Linked DNA regions of Canis lupus familiaris. Each later gene encodes a partner of the first gene's protein in a complex. Links are inferred from orthologs where the notes say so. Each region holds a gene or a part of one and is shown in the gene's direction. Other genes may lie near its edges.

The links. The genes of interacting proteins can lie anywhere in the genome.
Region 2: POLD2 (region 1) and POLD3 share a complex: the UniProt entries of both Homo sapiens proteins name them as parts of the both the DNA polymerase delta and DNA polymerase zeta complex. The link is inferred for Canis lupus familiaris from reciprocal best matches to the Homo sapiens genes POLD2 and POLD3.
Region 3: POLD2 (region 1) and DNA polymerase delta subunit 4 share a complex: the UniProt entries of both Homo sapiens proteins name them as parts of the tetrameric DNA polymerase delta complex. The link is inferred for Canis lupus familiaris from reciprocal best matches to the Homo sapiens genes POLD2 and POLD4.

Annotation. Positions count from the first base shown.
Region 1 is NC_049237.1:14,412,503-14,418,661, forward strand, and holds part of POLD2 (DNA polymerase delta subunit 2), read left to right. Parts: intron 1-155; coding exon 156-400; intron 401-460; exon of another isoform or gene 461-1,018; coding exon of another isoform or gene 1,019-1,190; intron 1,191-2,924; coding exon 2,925-3,046; intron 3,047-3,210; coding exon 3,211-3,334; intron 3,335-3,611; coding exon 3,612-3,726; intron 3,727-3,888; coding exon 3,889-4,087; intron 4,088-4,369; coding exon 4,370-4,450; intron 4,451-4,606; coding exon 4,607-4,764; intron 4,765-4,989; coding exon 4,990-5,117; intron 5,118-5,573; coding exon 5,574-5,675; intron 5,676-6,005; coding exon 6,006-6,159. UniProt on the Homo sapiens protein: Accessory component of both the DNA polymerase delta complex and the DNA polymerase zeta complex.
Region 2 is NC_049242.1:23,911,878-23,919,617, reverse strand, and holds the start of POLD3 (DNA polymerase delta subunit 3), read left to right. Parts: upstream 1-2,761; 5' UTR 2,762-2,856; coding exon 2,857-2,916; intron 2,917-3,086; exon of another isoform or gene 3,087-3,280; intron 3,281-3,531; exon of another isoform or gene 3,532-3,652; intron 3,653-4,441; coding exon 4,442-4,497; intron 4,498-7,740. UniProt on the Homo sapiens protein: Accessory component of both the DNA polymerase delta complex and the DNA polymerase zeta complex.
Region 3 is NC_049239.1:50,602,412-50,610,404, forward strand, and holds DNA polymerase delta subunit 4, read left to right. Parts: upstream 1-3,014; 5' UTR 3,015-3,233; coding exon 3,234-3,330; intron 3,331-3,549; coding exon 3,550-3,639; intron 3,640-3,855; coding exon 3,856-3,967; intron 3,968-4,341; coding exon 4,342-4,366; 3' UTR 4,367-5,393; downstream 5,394-7,993. UniProt on the Homo sapiens protein: As a component of the tetrameric DNA polymerase delta complex (Pol-delta4), plays a role in high fidelity genome replication and repair.

The DNA of each region.
Region 1 (6,159 bases):
TCTCCCTGTTTGGATGAGGCGTCCGAGCTGAAGCCCTGGTGCCCAGCACGGTTAATGTGCTGTCCTGGGCCACGTGTGGTGTGGGCTGCAGTGGGGATGCAGGGGGGAAGCCAGGGGGTGCGCAGGGTTGCAGGGATCCGTCTGTGTTTTCACAGGGATCTGGACACCTCAAGCACGGTCATGTTTTCTGAGCAGGCTGCCCAGAGGGCCCACACACTACTGTCCCCACCATCAGCCAGCAATGCCACCTTTGCCCGCGTGCCTGTATCCACGTACACCAACTCCTCTCAGTCCTTCAGGCTGGGAGAACGCAGCTTCAGCCGGCAGTACGCCCACATTTATGCCACCCGTCTCCTCCAGATGAGGCCCTTCCTGGTGAGCCGGGCCCAGCAGCACTGGGGTAAGTGACGTGTTCCGGGAAGTGCTTCCTCCCCAGCTGCCCAGAGGGCCCTGAGCTTTCCCTAGAAGCCTTGGGAGAGTCAGCCTCTTCGAGCCTTCACTTCTTGTTCGTAACAAATCCTTGTTACGAGGATTAAATGAAGGAATTGGTGGTTTTCAAGGGAGGCTAGGTGAGCTGAGGCTTAGTTCTGGCAGGAACAGTGATCGTGTCATTGCTGTAGGGATGTCCTGTGTGCTGGCGATGTGCTTGTGTGCGCACACGTGGCCAGCCAGTATGTCAGCATGCAGACCAGGAACCGGGCCCTGGGGGCCAAGGTCCACAAACACCTGCGTCCCCCCGGGGGGGCTCCCTGAGTGCTCACTATGTCTTCTGCTGCCCCTCCGGGCCCTCCGTCCTGGTCGGGCACGAATCTCCCCTCCCTTGGGCTCCTCTGTCTTTCCTAACCCAGGGGCCTGGGCAGGGTGACGTCTTCTTTCTCCACCTCCTTCGTCCTCCACCTCTCCTCTCACATGATTCCCCCCGGGGGAACAGGACGCGTGCCTTCACCTTTCTGGGGCCGCGTTCCCCGTCTCACTGTGGATCCAAGTGGCTCTCCGTGCCAAGTTCAGTTCATCTGAAATGTTTATGGGGAGAACCGTGTTACCCCTCCACATCTGTTGGTCCCAGCCTTGGCCTCCCCGGCTCCAGGTCCGGTCGCGACTGTGGGGAGCAGTGGTGCTCAGGCCCATCCCACACCAGCGACAGACTCGACCCTGGTTTATTACAGGCCGTGAAGACAGCCAGACCTCAGGTATGTTAGGGACGTTTTCTCTTATCTCTGCAGAAGGGATGGTGCTGTTCACGTGTTCTCTGCCACGTAATGAGGGTCTCTTTCCTGTGGCTCCCTATGGCCTTCCTCACTTTTCTTGAAGTCCTTGGGGACCTTCCCCAGGCCCGTGTCACTGTTCTGGTGCAGGTTTCTCTTCCAGCCCCACCGCTGCTGACAACTGCCTGGTGACAGGCCCCCGGTCCCCTTTGGCCCTCACAGACAGTCAGGAGCTCACACAGTGGCCCGTGATGAGTGGAGCTTTGGCTGGATGATGGCCAGCGGCCAACTGTAGGCCTGCCAGCCTGGTGTGGGTGCCGGCTTCCCCACATGACCAGGGACTTCAGCCTGTCTGGGACTCGTTTCTCTCTCTCTCTCTCTCTCTCTCTCTCTCTCTCTCTCTCTCTCTCCCCCTGAACACACCAAGCTCTTTCTTCCTATTGATACTCCCTTCCCCTGGCATGCTCTTCCTCCGTCTTCCCTCATGACCTCCAGTGTCATGGGTTTCAAGAGGCCACAATAGCCACCGGGGCTTTCTCATTACCTTCCGCCTTGGCTCCTTTGTGTCTGCAGCACCTGTCACAGTGGCTGATCCCTCGCTGACTGCTGTCGTCTCTCCCTCTTGGGGTTGTAAGCTTGGTGAGGGTGAGGACAGGCTGTGCTGTCCACTCTGATTCTGGTGCCCGGCCCGGTGCCCACATGCTGTCCAGCCAGACAGAGGTCCTGCCCTCCACACAGGGATGCGTGGTTCTCCCCGGTGCTTGAACGGGCACCTTCCATCCCAGCTGTGCAACTTTGGGTGCGTCCCTTAGCCTCTCAGTGCCTCTGTTGCCTCAAGCACACGGTGAGCAGTAAGGCCTACTCTGGCGTGTTGGCAGGCGTGGGTAGGTTCCAGGGACAGGGCTCAGTGCTGCCCCCAGGGGCTGAGTGAGGGCTCAGCAGACAGGCTTTGGGTCTGTTTCTGTGGCATTGGCATATCTTTCTGCTGCTGGCGCCTCCTTATCTTGTTTGGAATGACTAGCCTCCACTTCCCAGGGTGTAGATCTGTGGAATGTTCTTGGTTATTCTGGGCAGAAGGGGCTCATGCTAAGGGCAGCTGGGCTTAGGAAGGGGCCAGTCCTGCTGCTGCATTATCCCTTCTGCTTCAGGCAGACTTTACTCCAGGCCCAGCGTCTTGACGGACAAACCCACCAGCCTTCCTCTTGCCTGCCTGGGGGAGCCCTGCACATCGTGCCTCTCTAAAGCTTTCAGGGGAAGGCTGGACTGAGACTGGGCATGCTTCTAAGAACTCACGATATAACTTAGGGATAAGTGACGTAATACTCTGTATAAGGTCCCTAGTTGGTCTCTGCTATCACAGACAACCCAGCAGCTTGAACCACAGAAATCTATTCTGCGTCCGTTCTGGAGACCGGAGCTCTGAATCCAGGTGCTGGCAGGGCCACTCCCTCCACAGGCTGTCCGGGGGACCTCTTCCTCGGCTCTTCTAGTTTCTGGTGGCTGCCCGCTTTCCTGCATGTCTGCCTATCTTACGAGGACATGGGACACGGGGGCCCAGCCACATCCCTTTGTCCTGGGGTCGAGTCTGTTAGTGTCGGGGGTGTCCTTGCACCTCCAGAGGCTGGGCCGCAGGCTGCAGTGCTGGGTGAGGCTGTTACGGCGCCCCGAGGAGGGCCAGGAGGGCTGCCGGGTCTCTGAGCATGTGTCTGTCACACCCAGGTGATGGAATCCAAATAAAGAAGCTATGTGAGCTGCAGCCTGGGGAGAAATGCTGTGTGGTGGGGACCCTCTTCAAGGCCATGCCACTTCAGCCATCCATCCTCCGGGAGATCAGCGAAGAGGTGAGGCTGGCCAGCTCCTGCAGGGGGCACCAGGAGGGCCACCTGTAGTGGACACAGAGATCAGGGCTGGGCCTCTGCCCCCTGGGGTGTGGGATGCAGTGACATCTCACCTATGTGGTTTGGGAGCCTCCGGCCCCAACACCACCCCCATCTCTGAATTCCAGCACAACCTGCTGCCGCAGCCTCCTCGGAGCAAGTACATCCATCCCGACGACCAGCTGGTCTTGGAAGATGAACTACAGCGCATTAAGCTGGAAGGCAGCATTGACGCGTCAAAGCTGGTCACAGGTGGGGCAGTGGGCTGTGCCTGTGGTGCTACTGCATTCCTGCCTCCCTAGAATGATGGCTGTAGGGGCAGGCAGTGTGTGAGGCTCCAGAAGGGGGTCAGTGGTTCCAGCCTCCACCCAGAGGCAGTAACCCCAGGAAGCAGGTGCTCAGGCCCAAGTCTTCAGTGAGAGTTTTCCCACATGGCAGAAGGAAACTGGCTGGCTTTGCCCCTGAGTGCCTGAAGGAGGGGGTAGCCTCTTGGGCTTCCCTCCTGGAGCCTGACACCGCTGCCCCCTAGGGACAGTGCTGGCTGTGCTTGGCTCTGTGAGAGACAGCGGGAAGTTCCTGGTGGAGGACCATTGCTTTGCAGAGCTTGCTCCTCAGAAGCCCGCACCCACCCTGGACACAGACAGGTGACGAGCAGGCGCTCAGGGGCCTGGCCAGTGGTCCAGGGGAATCACATGTGCTGGGCTCCGTGTCCCCAGCTCACCTGTGACCGTGGCAGAGCCTGCAAGGGGCCGGGCGGCGGGGTCACCTGCTCTCGGCACCCAGGAGGACCCTGACTTCTCCCACAGGTTTGTGCTGCTGGTGTCTGGCCTGGGCCTGGGCGGAGGCGGGGGTGAGAGCCTGCTGGGCACCCAGCTGCTGGTGGACGTGGTGACAGGGCAGCTGGGGGACGAGGGAGAGCAGTGTAGCGCCGCCCATGTGTCCCGGGTCATCCTCGCCGGGAACCTCCTGAGCCACAATACCCAGAGCAGAGATTCCATCAACAAGGTACAGCCCCACCCGTGGGGGCCTTGAGACGGGGCCCACCCATTCAAGCCCCTGCTTCTCCAGGGAGAGTTGGGGTGCAGGGGTCTCGCGTGTCTCTTGGCAGGGGCCCTACAATGATTCAGGCCCTGCTTTCTGAGGGCGGGGGGGCCCGTGGCACAGAACTCTTTCTGTCCCCTAGCTGTGGGGTCTTGCTCTGCTCTCCGCTGCCCAGGCAGAGCTCTGAGTGTCTCTTTGATCTGAACCTCTCTTGGGGCCTGACAGCCTATGGACTTCTATCCCCAGGCCAAGTACTTAACCAAGAAAACCCAGGCAGCCAGCGTGGAGGCGGTCAAAATGTTGGATGAGATCCTCCTGCAACTGAGTGTGAGCGAGCCAGCGGCTGGCCAGTGATGAGATTGGAGCCTCTGAGGCTGGGGTCGGGCACCGGAAGGCGGGCTGGGGGAGCAGAAGGGGTGATCCCCAGGGGCTGTGTATGGAGGGCGCTGGGCCCTGCAAGCTCCCCTGCCCCTGTGCCCCCAGGCATCGGTACCCGTGGACGTGATGCCAGGCGAATTTGACCCAACCAACTACACACTCCCTCAGCAGCCCCTGCACCCCTGCATGTTCCCACTGGCCACTGCCTATTCCACCCTCCAGCTGGTCACCAATCCCTACCAAGCCACCATCGATGGAGTCAGGTAGCCACCTGCAGCCACACCCCAGTCTGACCCCTGGCACTGTGCCTCCGTGGCACTGGGAGGGAGGCTTTGAATCAGGCTGCAGAGGGCCCAGTGGATCTGGACTCTTTCTCTAAGTCAGCTTGGGACACCAGCCGTGAGAGTGCTGGGTGAGCTCTGGGCTGGCTCCTGGGGGGCAGGGGTGGCAGCCCCCAGAGTAGGGACCAGCTGAGCCTTGCCTTGCAGATTCCTAGGGACATCGGGACAAAACGTGAGTGACATTTTCCGGTACAGTAGCATGGAGGATCACTTGGAGATCCTGGAGTGGACCCTGCGCATCCGTCACATCAGCCCCACAGCCCCTGATACGCTAGGTACTGGGACTCAGCCACGTGGGGTGGGGCCAGAGGGCCAAGGGAGTCCTGATCCGGGGCCTTGACACCCAGAGGGTTTGCAGCATGGATTGCACTCACCAGTCCTGCCGTGACCTAAGGGATAGTCCAAAAGCTTGACACCAGATCTGGAAGCTTCTCTGGAATCAGCTCTGTGTGTCGCCATGGCCCTGTGTAGGGCAGAAGGCTGTGGGGAGCACATTAGGAGCACAGTGCCACAGACCCGCCTAGCAGGGCACCCTCAGCACATGCTAACCTGACTCCGGGGCCCTGGGGCAGTGTCTGGAGGCATTTTTGTTGTCCAGAAGGGCAGGGCTGCTACAGCATAGCCTGAGCGAGTATGAACAGGCAGGAGTGGGTCCACACCCTGTGTGCACAGCTGCACCCTGACCCTGCGCCGCGAAGGGCTAGGCCCCAGCCACTGCGGGTTTTCTCTAGGTTGCTACCCCTTCTATAAGAACGACCCGTTCATCTTTCCGGACTGCCCTCACGTCTACTTTTGTGGGAACACCCCCCAGTTTGGCTCTAAAATTTTCCGAGGTGAGTCTTCTGGGGACCCCAGGCCTGGGGGGACTATCACAAGGGACTCTTTCCTGGGGACAGGGCTCACAGAGAAGGCCTCACTGGAGTCCCCAGGCCCCCTGGGGTTGGTGGCCTGAGCAAGGGCTGACCGGTCCACACCTGCTTGGTCAGCTGGACTTTAGCCTTTAACCTTTATGCTTTCTTGGCCCTTGCGTCCGGTCCAAAGGAGCTGGTATGGCCAGCACTCGCATAGTGCTGATGGGGAACTCCTGTTTGCTTCTGGTGACTCCCCTTGAGACGAGGCACACCCAGAACCTGAGGTGGGGGACCTATGTGGCTTCTTTGCAGGCCCAGAGGACCAGAGGGTGCTGTTGGTGGCTGTCCCAGACTTCAGCACCACACAGACTGCCTGCCTTGTGAATCTGCGCAGCTTGGCCTGCCAGCCCATCAGTTTCTCAGGCTTTGGGGCAGAGGACGAGGACCTGGGGGGCTTGGGTCTGAG
Region 2 (7,740 bases), on another chromosome or scaffold:
GTTAATTGCCTTTCCCAGGTTTCTATGGCACTCTGTGCTTCCTCACAGAGGAAGCTGTTTACTCCCCACAGACTAAACTCCCAGAGATGAAGAGCATGCTGTGTTCCCATTGTCACACAGGGCCTGATAGACAGGAGGCCTTGAATAATGTTTGATGAATGAATGTATGAATGATCTAATGCTAAATACCTTAGTGTTAATAAGTTCTGGATCCCCAGGACTCTGGAATGACCATTGTGGACCCCCAGCGATTTGAGGCCCCATAGCCCAGCCAGCTGGTTGTGCTCCTGAGCTGCTCCCACAGGCCCCATTTCCTGGTCAGAAGCCTGGCCTCTTTCCCCTACTTTTAGTCTGGGGGTCCTGCCTGCAGGGGTTGACTACTCTTCATGTTTTCCCCAATATTGGGTCCAGGCTAGATTTCCCATCCCATGCCTTGTCACAATCATTAGATTTTCTTATGCCAATCATTTCTGGGATGAAGTGGGGATGAAAAGGAGGAAATAGGAATGTCCGTCTTCTAACATCAACCTCTTTGAAACATGAAGGCTGAGAATCTTGATCCTATGGCTCTCACTTCTGGTATCAGCTGACACTACCATCTCCAAGTTTTGTCTGGCCTCATGTGCTTAGGAAATGCTTTAGTTGGTTTTTCTGATTCCTGGAGAACTGCTCTTGTTTTTGACATTGATGTGAAGCTTCATCTTTAAGGAAGAGGGACTGAATTCTTTTTTTCTTTTTTTAAGATTTTATTTATTTATTCAAGAGAGACACATGGAGAGAGGCAGAGACACAGGCAGAGAAGCAGGCTCCCTGCGGGGAAGCCCCATGCAGGACTCAATCCCAGGATCACCACCTGAGCCAAAGGCAGATGCTCAAACACTGAGCTACTCAGGTGCCCTCCCTCCCTCCTTCCCTTCCTTCCTCCCTCCCTTCCTGGTAGAGGTAGAAATGGTGGTACTTTTCCCTTTTGGAGATTTGCTGGTTACATTTCAAATAGGAAAGATGTTCCCAATGCCTGGAATAAGGAGTTAATTTTACATTGCAGATGCCCCAGGCACAGAACATGGCCTGTTGAGTTGGTAATTGACAAGGAATGATAGGCCCTGAGAGCTCCCCATGCTGACCCCAAACTAGGTTTCCTTTTATTAATTTTTCAGGAGAGCCACAGTTAAAAATTAAACTATAAATTTATAATTAAATCATTAAAAACAAAGACAACAAATATTCAATATAACCACTTCCTAATTATTTTACTGCCATATATGCTCTTGAGGTTATTTGTTTATTCTACATGTATTGTGGAAGTAATTGTGTGATATTGTGTGTCTCTACCTGTGTTCAGTGATGTCACTATCAGGAGTTTGAAGTCTGCTGTGATGGCAGTATACACATCACAGATGTTGTCAACCACTACAAATCAGGGCTTTTTAAATTTGGCTGTTAAACATTTATTAGTATACCACTGCGTTCTATTGTCCCATCTTTTAAAGATCATGAAATTGAGGACTAGAGACGTTAAGTGATTTGCCTACAGCCATACTGCTAGGAAGTGGTAAAGCTGGGATTCAATCCCAGGTTTTTGTTTGTTTGCTTCCTTTTTAAAAGAAAAATATATTTCCAAAGCCCACATGTCTTCCATTCAGCTCCTCTTCCCTGAGGTAGGAATGTTCAAGCTGGGTAGGCGTCTCAAGGTTAACCACTAATCTGGCTTCTAAACATCACACAACCTTTTAATACTGGTATACCTAGGGCCATGTTGGGTCAAGTATTCTATATAGTATTATCATTTGCTCCCTTTGGCATGGGGATAGCGTCAAGAATCTGGTCAATTATCTTGACTTTCTTCCCATCCCTGTGGAACAATGAAAAGAAACTTGAATTCCTATCCCAGCACTACCGTCCAACCCTGTGACCTCGAAAATTCATCTTTCCTCTCTTAAATTTCAGCAATCTACTCTATAAAATATGGACAAACACAATCCATTTGAAGGGTTGCTCTAGGGAGTAAATGAAATCTCACTCTCAAAGCACCTAATACAGTGTACCCTGTGTATAGTAATATAACCCAACTGCTATTAATTTTATTGTGTACAGGCATGGTGTGAGGGTTTTATATGTTTTCTCCATTATAACTGTGGCCATAGAGAATTCTTTGATTTTCTTCATCTGCTCTTTCTCTCAGTCTTCCACAGTTCAGTAGTCAAATGCACCACCATTTACCTAAAGATTTAGATTCCAAATCTAGGTGTTTTCTTTTCTTCCCAGCAAATGCTCTTGCTTCTATCTGAAACATTTCTCTTATCCCATCCCTTCTGGAAAGCCACCCCTAATTTCTCAATTCTGAGGGATTATAACCAGGAGTACTTCATTCCAGCTGCCATCACTCTACTAAAATTACTGGCTTATTTCTGTCTGGATCATTCACCGCTGTGTCCCCAGCATCTAAGCAGTGCCCGGAATAGGTAGGTAGTTGATAAGCATTTTTTGAATAAAGGTATGAAAGGGCAAGGATTATGTTATCAATTTACAGGTGGTAAGGCTGTGGCTCCTACGAGGAGGTATTTTGCTTTGGGTCAGGCATTAAATTGCAGACGGGAGATTTAAAACCAGGGCTCCAGAAACACCCTCCCCAGGTCCCGCGCAGGTTCCTAGTCCGCGCTTGCGTTGGCTCCTACCTACTAGCTCCGCCTACTTGAGCCGGCGCCGTCTCCGTCACTAGTTTGACCCTCGGGCGGCCGCCGTAGCGCGTCGCCTCCGTTGCTGTGGGAAACGACCCCGGACCCGGGAGAGAGGAAAGACGTTTCCCGCCGGCGGGAGCTGCGTTTGTGGTGGCGGGGCTCGCAGCTGTGCCGCACGATGGCGGACCAGCTTTATCTGGAAAATATAGACGAGTTCGTCACGGACCAGAACAAGATCGTGAGGAGCTAGGACTGGGGAATGTGGGCAGGAGACTGGAGTCCTGAGGGCGGCAGGGGCCTTGACCCCTCTGCGCTTGGCCTGGTGGGGACTGGCCGAGGGGCGACGGGTCCCCACGTCTGGTGCCCCAGGGCTCGCGAGGGCTCACGGGGGCTCGCAGGGGGAATTCCTCTGGCGCGCGCTAGTCCGCGTCGCTTGGGTTGGGCGTGCCGGGTGCTGTGCAAGGAGCAGAGGCCAAGAACAGGCGTGGAGGGAAGGGCCCTGGTAGATAACAATTCTGAGGTGTTTCTGCGTCTGTCCGATGAGGTGAAATGGTTTAAAGCCCCAAGTTGACTGTTGAAGAATTGTGCCGTGATTGGGTTAGGTGACTAGTTGTTTCACCTTTCAACCGTCAGTTTCCTCCGCTAGGAAATTTGGTATTCGTAGGCTTGACCAGCCCCCTCAGGGTTGGAATGAAAGATTGAGAAGATGAATGCGAGTGGACTTTACAACCGTGACGATTGAATGCCTGCTGTGAGCCTGGGATGTACAGTATTGCATTTAATCTTTACAGCGACCCCAAAGGGCGCCGGACGTATCCCTATACTTGAAGCAGAGGAACCACATTACTTACTTGTAGTTAGTGAAGGATAGGCAGTTTTCCAACCTAGATCTGTCTCTTTTACTAATGCTTTCGCCTCACCTATGTTCTTAATTATTGGAAACTCGGCATTTAGAATTGGAAGACTTCTAAGAGGTGAGGAGCATCCAAGGAAGTGACATTTGACAAGAGAGTTCAAGGAAGGATGGAAGGAAGACCAAGGCTTGATGCCAGTGGATTCCAGTCTAACCCCAAATACAGCATTCGTCCACTTCTTTTTTTTTTTTTAATATTTTGTTTTATTATTTATTAGAGAGAGAGGCAGAGACACAGGCAGAGAGAGAAGCAGGCTCCATGCAGGGAGCCCCACATAGGATTCGATCCCAGGTCTCCAGGATCAGGCCCTGGGCTGAAGGCGGCGCTAAACCGCTGCGCCAACCCGGGCTGCCCCCATCCACTTCTTTAATTCCCTGGCCCCTGCACCACCTGTGCCTGCTAATGTTTGCATTAGCAAACAGGCACGGCTGCAGCTTTTCCTTAGACGTTTATGTCATACACTGCAAAGTAATCTAGCTTCTGGGTGAATTTTAATAGTTATCAGTGGTGGCCACAAAAAAGGACAGTGTGAATAAAGGGTAAAACAAAGAATGTGAGGAAAATGCGAGCTTTTTCTTTGTATGTATATTCAGCCTTTCATTTTAGACTTTTGTATTAATTAGCCTGTGAAACAGACTTTTTAGTGTAAGATAAATATCTCAGTCCTACCTACCCAGATGGACTGTTCTTGGCAAAACTAGGGTGGCATCCGCTGTAATTTATAAGGCACAATCATCTGAGAGTAGGAATCTTTAGGAGCCCCTGGGACTAACCTGCACGCTGGAATCATTTAATGTTAATGTCATTAATGTTTTTTAACACTTAAAAACCAACTCCTTCTTCTTGCAGGTGACATACAAATGGCTGAGCTATACACTAGGGGTTCATGTTAACCAGGCCAAACAGTAAGTACAATTTACTACGATTTTTATTCACACTGGAGTTGTGTGTGTGTGTGTTTTGTTTGTTTTGTTTTGCTTTGTTTTAAGCTTTGCAGATAGCCTTGAGGTTAGAAATTTTTTTTTCGGGATCCCTGGGTGGTGCAGCGGTTTGGCGCCTGCCTTTGGCCCAGGGCGGGATCATGGAGACCTGGAATCGAATCCCACGTCGGGCTCCCGGTGCATGGAGCCTGCTTCTCCCTCTGCCTGTGTCTCTGCCTCTCTTTCTCTCTCTGTGTGTGTGACTATCATAAATAAAATTAAAAAAAAAAAAAAAAAAGAATTTTTTTTTCCCCTGGAAAATAGGAAAGAATACTATTTTTACTACCTTTCACTAAATTTGTATTTATTTAGGAGATAGGTGGACTTATATACAAATATGTGGTTGTATATTTGCTGGATTTATTAGTAGCCTTGGCCTCTGGTTAACATCATTTTGTTACTTCAAATTTATTAAACGGGCTACTTCTCAGATTTTGTATGCTTGTCATCTTGTATCTTCGTTACATTTTCACATGTGCTCCTTAGGCCCACATCTGGGTGTTAGTGAAGTACTTTCATAATGAGGTCAACAGGTGTACTGGGGAGGACTATTTAAATGAACTAAAATGGGAGTGTTCAGGATGATGCAGAGCATTGCCTTTCTTGAACTTTTGCTTTATCACCTTTGCTTGCTGAAACTTGTAGTTCAACTTGAGGCCAAAAGGGAAAAGGCAAGCTTTTGAATTAACTTCCAAAATTTCTTAAAAATCTTGTCTCTATCCCAAGAGGAGGAATTGGTAAATAGGCTGAGAGCATATATATTGAGTTAAATACTCATTTAGTTCAATTTATTCCTAAAGTGGTCTGATTTTTTTTTTTCCCCAATTTTTTGAGTCATGGGAGCTTTCTTTGAGTCAGGCAATGTTCCATGAATCTTAGAAAATTCCTGATAACTAGAATCGGTTGATTTGGCTTTATGTGGGCTACTTTTGACAGACCTAGAATCTGGCTTTGGCTATGATTATGCCTTCAAGACCTGAAACTCTTGGCCTAGGGATGAATTTGGACTGACCTTTATCTGAGATTTTCTGTTGCTAATGGCAGTGCTGGCCCAGACCCAAGGGTTTCAGGTAACTTTCAGAACGGACATATATGACTAATTGTTATGTTTATAGATATTTATGAAATAACTATTATTATATAAGCCTGTTGGGGCTTAAAGGTGCATATTGAGGGCTGGAGATGAAATAAAGTTGCCTGCGATTTTATAGTAGTTACTTTGCTTGTAATTTTTATAGAATTAACACACTGTCTAGCCCCTGTCTCTCAACCAACTTCATCCCATGCCTCTCTCTACCTTACTTAAACTGTAGCCATATTCATCTTTTTGTCCGTCAAATATGCCAGGCTCATTCTGACTTAGAACATTTGAACCATTCCCTCTGGAATGCTCTTCTCCCAGCTGTTCTCATCCTTCAAGTTTTAGCTCAAATGTCACACATTACTTTTTGCAACCACCCTTCTCTAATGCTTTATTTCAGGTATCCCCATCCCTTCCTCTCTGTAATATCACTCTGTTAACTACTTTCTTAATTTTTTTTGAAAAGCAGCTTTATTGTGATAAAATTCACATACTGTACAATTCACCCACTGAAAATGTATAATTCAGTAGTTTTTAGTATGTTCACAGAGTTACGCAGCCATCACTATAATTAATTGTAGAACATTTTCATCACCTCCAAAAGAAACCCTGTATCCATTAGCACGCACTTAGCATTTTCTCTCCACTCCTTTCACATCCTTCCCCCACCCTCCCAGCATTAGGCAATCACTAGTAAACTCTCTCTATAGATTTACCTATCCTGGCCATTTCATATGAATGGAATCCTGTAATATATAGTCTCGTGTCTGGTTTCTTTTGCTTAGCGTAATGTCTTCAAGGTTTGTCCATGTTGTAGCATATATCAGTACTTAATTCCTTTTTAGGGCTGAATGATATTCCATTATATGGCAAGTTAGTTTCCTAGGGCTGCCATAACAGAATGCTATGAACTGTGTGGCTTAAAACATTAGGAATTTATTATCTTACAGTTCTAGGGGCTAGAAATCTGAAATTAAGGTGTTGACAGGGCCATACTCTCTCTGAAACCTATAGAGAAGAATCCTTCATTCCTTCCTAGATTCTGGTGGTTTGCTGGCAACCTTTGGCATTCTTTGGCTTATAGCTGCATAACCCCAGTGTCTTTCTTGTTACATTGCATTCTTCCTGTGTGCCATATCTTACATGGCCATCATATAAGGATACCAGTCATTGAATTAGGAGCCCACCCTACTCCAGTATGACCTCATTTTACCTAATTACATCTGCAAAGATCCTCTTTCCAAAGAAGGCCACACTCTGGGGTACTGGTGTTTAGGATATCAACATATCTTTTTTTGGTGTGTGTGGGGGCAGGCACAGTTCAACCCATAACACACTTAAATAGTACAATGATGGACATTTGGGTTGTTTCCACATTTTGGAAATCATGAATAATACTACTATGGACATTTGTATACACGTTTTTATGTGGATATACATATTCAGTTCTCTTGGATCTATACCTATGTCTGTGTCATAGAACAGTTTGAAGAACTGCCAAGCTGTTTTTCAGAGTGGCCACACTAATTTAAAATCCCAGCAGTAGGTTATGGGTTGCAGTTTCTCCACATTCTTGCCAAGTCTTTATCATCTTTTTTGTTTTAGCCATCTCCTAGTAGGTGTGAATTGGTATCATTATGGTTTTGATTTGCATTTCCATAATGACCAATGATGTTGATCTTTTCATGTGTTTATTAGCCATTTGTGTAACTATGCCTACTCAGATCCTTTGCCTATTTTTTTCACTGAGTTGTCTTGTTAAATTGTAAAGAGTATTTTTTATATATTCTGGATGCAAGACCCTGATCAAATATGTATGTGCTGCTGAAGTGAGCACCTGATCAGATATATGATCTGCAAAAATTTTCTCCTATTCCGTGGGTTGTCTTTGCACTTTTTTTTTTTTTTTTTTGGTGAAGAAATTTAGATTTATACCCAGCTGGACTCAGTTTAGATGATCCCAATTTTGTTGGCAACATCCAAAGCATCATAATCAGGAGCCAGTTGAATATATGCTTTCTTCACTCCATCAGGCCTGATCAAGGTGTTGACCTTGGCCTCATCAATGTTGTAGAGCTTCTTGGCAG
Region 3 (7,993 bases), on another chromosome or scaffold:
ACCTTCCTAGCTGGAGCTGGCTCTCTCCACAAGCCCTATTCTGAGCAGGGGGAGGGGGAAGGGGCTCCCAGGGCGCCTGCGCCTGCGCAATGCTGAGGCCCCCCCACCCTGCCACATTGAGCTAAGCCAGGCCTAATCCCCCTTCCCCTTGGAGCAGTAGGCAGTGGGCCTCAGCCTTCAGGAAGGTGCTGGGCTCCTGTTCCAATTCTTTGCTCTGTTTTTCTCCTGGGTTCTCCGGAGATGTTGGCAGGCAAGCCCTTTGAGTGTTCCCAGGCCCAGGTGCAAAGGTCACTCCTGCCAGTCCCATCACCAGCCTCTGGGGGTCAGAGCTGACACAGAAACAGGCTCCTGGGTCTCAGGAAACTCCCTGACCCAGGGAGAAGGTAGCTCCCAACTCAGACCTCTGGCCTGGCCCTCCAGCCTGAAGCCTGACTTGTGATAGTCCCCATGTGACAGCAGTTTTGGGGACAGGCCAGGAGGCTGCCTGAGTAGGGAAAGGGGTTCCAGGAAGAAAGGTGAGAGGAGGCAGACGGGGTTGGACGAGTGGAGAAGGAAAAGACCTGAGGATGGGCAGGCCCAGGTTCTAGTGGCCGGCACACCCCAGGGATCAACTTGGTGAGATACGGAGTTGGGGAAGGATGTCTATTTGACAGGGGTGGCTCCAAAGCTCCCAGGGGGCACTCAGTCTCACTATTGTCTGACTAGGACAGGAGGGCAATGCTGCCTGTGGAGAGTTCTCTGGACTCCAGGGGAGAAACCCAGCCTTCGGGCGCCTGCACTTGAGTTGACAACCCTGATTCTTCCCCGGGACTGGGGGGACATCTTCCAGGCCAGGTGGGAGAGGCTAGCCTGGCCCGGGCCAGGCAGAGCTGGGGGCAGCTGGCAGGATGCCCAGGCAGTGCCCACAGAGCAGGTCAGGGTGCCAGAGGAGAGAGGGAATGAGCTCGGGCGGCAGTAGGAGCCACTGTGGCCGCCCAGCGGCACACCCCATTTCACGCTCCCTGGGCGGTGGCAGGGCCCCACGGCTATCAGCTTTCAGGGGTGGGAAGGATCAGGAATGAGGAGGGGTCTGCCCCACCCATGGCTTCCTACTCCCTCAGGGCTCTGTGGACTCGGGAGTGAGGTGCCACACACCTCTGGGAACACCCTCTGGGGAGAGGAGCCTGGGCACCGTCCCTCTGTAGAGTGTTCAGTGCCTGACTGGACACTGCACCTCAGCCCTTCCTGGGCCTGGTAGAGAGGCCTCCTGTGTTCCTCCCCAGTGCACCAGGCCCCTGTCTCCCTCCATATGGGCCCCACTTAGTCCATGAGGCAGATGGGGGATTAGGCCAGGCCCAGCCCAGAAAATAAAGCAGGGAAGGGCCCTCCAGCTCTGTGCAGTACATTCATGAGCTCTGACTCCCACTCAGCCCTCCTCAAGGAAGTGGATAGGGAGAGCCAGGCAGGAGGAGGCCGTTGAAGACATGGCTGCTCTTGCTCCTTCCCTTTGGTGGTCTCCTCTCCAGAGCTTTTCCTCTCTTACGCCCACCTTACTTGTATCTTAGAGCACCCAGAGCCCAGAGCAGTTGGATGAGGTTGTAGACAGAAACTTCTGAGTGGACCCTTGTACTCCTGGAAGAACCAGATAGGATCTCTAAAGGGCAGTTAGAGCTGGGCTGGTCCCTGTGCTGATTCCCAGACTCCCACTGACCAGCACTTTTGCCTGCTGCCAGGAAGTTGGTGAGGGGGAGGCGGGTGCAGGGGTGACTCAGCGATGACAGGAGCCCAAGGGACAAAGGTCATGGGTGGAGAATTGAGAGACACTGTTTACAGCAGCCCGCCTCCTCCAGGAGGTCTTCCAGTGTTAAGCTAACGCTGTGGTCCAAGTCCTCTCTGACCCACCCTTCTCCCCTTTCCTGTTTCTTAGTAATTTTGTCCTTGCATTGACAACTTGTGTGTCCCATCTGCCTACCCTGTTAGCCTCTGAGCTCCTCTGTGGAGAGGGCACAGAGGGCCCGTGATTTAACTGGGGCCCCACAATGCCTGTGATGATCAGCACTTCCTACTTTCAAAAACCATTTTATGGGGCCCCTGGCTGTCTCGTCTGTGGAGCACCCAACTCTTGATCTCGGGTCATGAGCTCAAGCCCCACGTTGAGGGGTAAAGATTACTTAAAAAAAAAAAAAAGAACTTTTTTTTTTTTTTTTTTTTTTAAGGAACCATTCATTTTACATCTATTTTAGTTGAGTGAGTATGTGGGAAAGTGCTGAGAACAGTACTTGGCACACCGTAAGTGCCATGTAAGTGTTTAGTTTATGGTTGGTATTTTCTGCTCTTACTGTCACATTGGTGAGACAGGGCAGATTTTACTGATAAAAAAAAAAAAAAAAGTGGGGCTACAAGCACGCTGGCCTCCTGCTCAGTGTGGAATCTTCCTGACTAGCAGGGTGGGCATGGGCGCGTACTGACCCCAGGAGAGTCGACGAGGCCAACGCTTGCCTGGACTGAGAGTGGGCAGGGTCTTTGGGCACAGACTGTGAGAAAGGAGCTTTGGAACCCAAGGGCTTCTCCAGCCGGGTCTCCTGGGGCCGGTGGGGGTGGGGTGGGAGCTGGGAAGGAAGGGGCTGGATCAGCCCAACGCTCCGCGGACCTCCAGACCTGCCCCCACAAGGCTCTGCGGGACGGGGGGTGGGAGTGGAGGCTCCAGCTGGACTCTAGGGAGTTAGCGAGCGGCCACGGGGATTACTGAGGCTGAAAAGAACATTTGCCTAGGAAGGGAAAACGGGAAGTGAGAGGCCGAGGATAACGCTCTATTAGTCCCCCGAGGCCCGCTGCGGCCCGACGGGGGGGCAGCAGGAGGAGGCGCAGTCTGGGGCGTCCCGACAGGTCCCCCACCCAGCCTCACCCCTTCTCCCGGAGCACAGCTGCGGCCGGCGCCCCGCCCCCTCGGCCTCCGCCGCCTGCCATTGGCTGGCGTCGGGCCCCGCCCCGCAGAGGCGGCCAACCATTGGCTTGGGTCTCTGCTGTTTGTGCGCCTGCGGGGGCGGGGGCCGCGCGTCATTCCCTGGAACCGGCGAACTTCCTCTCGGCTTGTCTGGGTCGCCCTGTCTGCCGGCCGCTGGCCCCGGGCTCGCCCGCTGGCCCCAGCCCTCTCCTCTCCTCTCTCCCTCTCTCTCTCAGCAGCTGTCTCTCTCGTGCCCGCTGGCCTCTCCTTCCCGCAGCCGCCTCCTTCTCCGCCTGCTTGGGTGGCCGCCATGGGCCGGAAGCGGCTCATCACTGACTCCTACCCCGTAGTGAAGAGGGGGGAGGGCCCCGCTGGGCACAGCAAGGGGGAGCTGGCACCGGAGCTAGGTCTCTTCCGCGTGCGGGGGGCGGGAGCACTGGACACCAGCGAGGGGCTTGCGAGGACGCGGGCGGACGGGGGTGCTGCGAGGGGAAGTGAAACATGTCCTCTACTTCCTACTGCAGGCCTGGCAGTGGCCGGCAGAGGCAAAGGGCTGGTGAGGGCCGGGGAGCAGTGGGGCAGCTGCGAGGCCGGGGGCAGGCCTGAGGAGCCGCGTGTCATTGCAGGGGAAGAGCCCCAGCCCCTGAGCGTGGATGAAGCAGAGCTGGAGCTGCTGAGGCAGTTTGATCTCGCCTGGCAGTATGGGCCCTGCACAGGTGAGAACCCTCTCAGGCCCCAGGAACACATCCTGGAGACAGTCCTGTCACCTGCAGGTCCCTGAAGCAACCCACGCCCCTGCCTGACCCTCTCGGGCACTGTCTCCCGAGACTAGGGGGTGTGGAGGCCCTGACACACCCCTCCATACACATTCTCCAGCCTGAACTCCTCCCCACCCCCCATGAGGTGCCAGTGTCGTCTTCTCACCCCGGCAGGGATCACACGGTTGCAGCGCTGGCATCGGGCGGAGCAGATGGGCTTGGAGCCTCCCCCAGAAGTGCGTCAGGTGCTACAGACCCACCCTGGAGATCCCCGCTTCCAGTGCAGGTCAGAGACAGGCCAGGAGGGCTTTCAGGGGAGCCAGGGGTTTCATCAGGCACCACCAGCCTGCTGGCCCGCAGGGTGGGGACTGCCCTGACCTGAGGAAGAAATGAATGTGGGCTTTGGGGCTTTGCTGAACAGGCAAGAAGGTGATCTCCAAGGTGCTTGGCTCAGGAAAGCAGAACATTGCTTTAATAATCCTTATCTCTGAGCTAATGGTGGGGTAAGAGTGCACCCAGGACCCAAGGGACTATCTATTTAGTACAGAGGGGTTGGCCAGGGACAATAAGCCATGGCCAAGAATTGGGGCTGGTGAAATCAGATCAAGGACTTAATTGTCTCTCTCTGGTTTCTCTGCCCCCACCCCTTCCTTTGCACAGCCTCTGGCATCTCTATCCCCTGTGAGGTACCACTTAAGACTTCCTGCCCACTATCCCAGGACCTCAAGACACAAGTGAGAGCCAGTTGCTGCCCCCTTGGCTCAGTTCTGCCGTGAAGAACCTTTAGCAGGAAAAGAATCTTATAGAGAAAAGAGGCTGAATCTGGAGGTCTCTGAGGCTCAGCCCTCCATCTAACCAGCAGGCTCCTGGAGCTCCCTCTGAGAGCCAACACAGCTGAAGCTTATACTTCCTACATGGAAAGTTGTCTCTGAGGATAAAGACTTGGCCATGACCCTCGGATGCCTGCTACACACCTCTTCAACCATAAAAACTGTGGTCCTGGGAACAGTGTGGCAAATAAGCACAGCCTTGGACACAGCTAGACTCAGGCAGATGTCTAAGAGGCAAAGATGCACTCCCTACTCAAAGCTGGGAATCTAAGGGCAGAACTGGCAAGGGGTTCCTAATGCTTATCAATAAAGAACACTGAGTCTGGAAGCCTAACCTCCAGTCCCTTAATGTGGCCCTGAGTGGGCTGCCAGCAACCAGCAAGCCGAAGCTGACAGGTGGGAGAGAACCAGAACTATGCTTTCCCTTTGCTGCCCAGGCCTAGACCTTGGCCAGAAGAAAGACACCTTAAAAGACCATGGGACAAGTCCACATTAGAGCTGATCAGCCTCTGGCGCCCCCTGGTGGTGGACAGGGAAACAACTCTAGTCACCTTCGAAGACCAGCCAGAGAAAACGGACCTGACCGGCTACCTAGCCTGCCCAGTGTGGCCCACCTCACAAAAATGGGTCCTTTGTCAGAGGAGAATCCATAGGGTTCACACCTCATAAGGTCCAAACCTACACATTCCCGCCAAGCACCTCTGCTTCCCACACTGGGGCCACCTGGATCCAAAGCAGGGTTGAGGAGGTTCTCAACCTGCAGGTCCTGCTCAGAGATGGCCATCATCTGGTGGGCTTTGGTGGGGGAACTGGGTAGAGCAGAAACAATGTTTAGGGGCCCCTGGGATGGTATCATATGGAGAATGGAGTCCGTGTTCCTCACTCTGTGTTTATCTTTACTGGCTGTCCAGCTCTGCATCCTGGGCAGAGACAGCACTGCTATTAACTCCTTGGGGACAGGCCTATAGAGCAGCCAAGTGGCCTCTCTAGCCCCCACTGTACTCGCCACTACCCGTGCCTCAAGGATCTTAAATGAATCATCTCTAACGTTCCTAAAGGGCTGTTAAGGTAGATTTTATAGAGAAGGAGCCTGAAGCTCAGAAAAGCTGTGTGGGGTTGCTCGGCAGTACTGGCAGGCTGGTGGTGGTGCAGAGATGAGAGGCCATGTGCACCAGGCTCTTCATGTCTACAGCCATGCCCCTGCCCATCTGCTGGGTACTTGCTGTATGCCGGGCTCTAGAGGTCCTCCTGGGTGTTGTTAGTGGTGAGGAGACAAAAGAAGACATACAGGTAAATATTACCTGTATGTGGTAATCAGCCATGTGGTGGTCAGTGGTAGGCAAAATTAGGGATAGAGATCAAAGAATGCCGGGGCTGCTTGGAGAGGTTGATCAGGGAAGCTCTCTGACACGGTGGGATCTCAGCAGAGATCTGAATGAAATATAGGAATGGGACTGGCACCTATGGGAGAGCTCTGGACAGAGGAATACCAAGCATACTTCCCAAGATAGGAGTGTTTACACCCTGGTCCAGGAACAGCGTGCAGGCCAGTGCACCCACGGCAGAGGGAGCAAGAGGAGTATGCTGGGAAATGAGGCCAGAGAGGTAACAGGTCGATCCCACAGGCCTTTCAGGCTGAGATAAGGAATCTGGATTTTAATCGGAGTGAGACAGAAGACATTGGTGAGTTGTAAGCCAATGAATGACATAATCAAGCTTCTGTGTTGAAAACATCACTCTGGCTGTTGGTGGAGAACAGTTCCTGGGGTGAGGGAAAGAAGAGGCAGCAAAACCACTCAGGAGGCTTTTGGGGTTGGCCTCGAGAGAGGCGATGGTGATTTGGACCAGGGTTGGGAGATCAGTCGGCTGTGGGTCTGAGAGGTGCCAAGGAGAGAACTCCAAAGGTTTTGGCCTGAGCAGCTGGAAAGCCAAAGCTCCCATGACTAAGGTGGGAAAGACCATGTGAGGGGCAGGGGATGCTGGGGAATCAGGAGTTCACACTTGACACCCAAGCAGAGCTGGGGAGTAGGTGGTGGATACTCAAGCCTAGAATTCTCGCGAGCTCGGAATTTGAGAATGTAAACATCGGCATTTTTTGATGATGTTTAGAGCCCAGAATGTGACTGAGGTTACCTGAGGGGTCCAAGGATGAGCCTACACTTTCTATGCTTAGAGGAGAGGGAGAAGGCGACGGAGAAGGAAGGTGGTGGGGCTGGAGGAAAATCTGGAGGCATGGGCCTGGGAGGCCTGGGCAGGAGGTACTCCAGGGTCTCAGATGCTTTGGAGAGGCTTGTAAAATGAAGCCTGAGGGCAGAATGCTGGACTTGGCAATGCAGAGGTCACTGGGGACAAGAAGTTTCCATGAGTGCCAGTATAAGAGTGTGCCAGAGGGGGTAGCCCCAGTGGCGCAGCGGTTTGGTGCCGCCTGCAGCCCAGGGTGTGATCCTGGAGACCCAGGATCGAGTCCCATGTCGGGCTCCCTGCATGCAGCCTGCTTCTCCCTCTACCTGTGTCTGTGTCTCCGCCTCTGTGTGTGTGTGTGAGTGTCTCATGAATAAATAAATAAAATCTTTTAAAAAAAAGAGTTTGTCCCTTAACTGACTGGGTCACCCAGGCGCCCCTCAAGGGAGGGGTTTTGATGTGTCATTTTGTCTTTTGTTTTGGATAGAGTGACACTACAGCATGATCACACAGTGAGAGAGTGAGCCAACAGGGAGGGGACCGTTGCCACAGGAGACAAAGGTGGGTGTTATGAGTGAGGCCTTTGTGAGAGAGACAAGGGCTGGGCCCAGGGCCCAGGGAGAGGGTGGCCTCAGGTAGGAGCATCCAGCGTGACAGGAAGGGAGGCCAAGGATGTGGGAGTAGATGCGGGTGGGAAGGTATGGTATCAGTGGGAACATTTGAGAATCTGTTTGCTGAGAGCCTCGTGCAGCTGGGAGGGGTCTGATGTTTACTAAGGGCCCTCCATGCCATCTGCTGGGCTGCTGTTTGACCAGAGTGACTCAGAGCACTGTCATTAGGTAAGTATTCAGCCATGGTTCACAGATAAGGAAACTGAGGCTGAGACTTGCTCAGTCAGGAAACCCTAGGGCAGGACTCTCAGCCAGGGTTGCCTTCCCTACTGCATCGCCCTGCACCTGCACCACCATCCCCAGCCCCAGGTGGCTCAGGGTGCTGCTAAACAGAGATCTAACTGCAGGGAAAGTTAAAAACAAACCAATGTAATACACAGGCTATGTTGGGGCAACTAGGTGTGGTATGGATACTGAGTCCTCAGGAAGGAGAGGGCAGCACGTGTTAGAGAGACCCTGACTGTGGGGACCCTGAGCACAGGACAACTGCCTCCCACTGCCATGGTTCTCCCTGATTTCAGGACCTCACCCCTTCCACTCACCACACCCTTCCTCCTCAGACCCTCCCGCTGCAGAATGAGTGCAGACCCCCCCCCCCCCCAGGGCAGCTGGAGGCTGACCCAAGACACC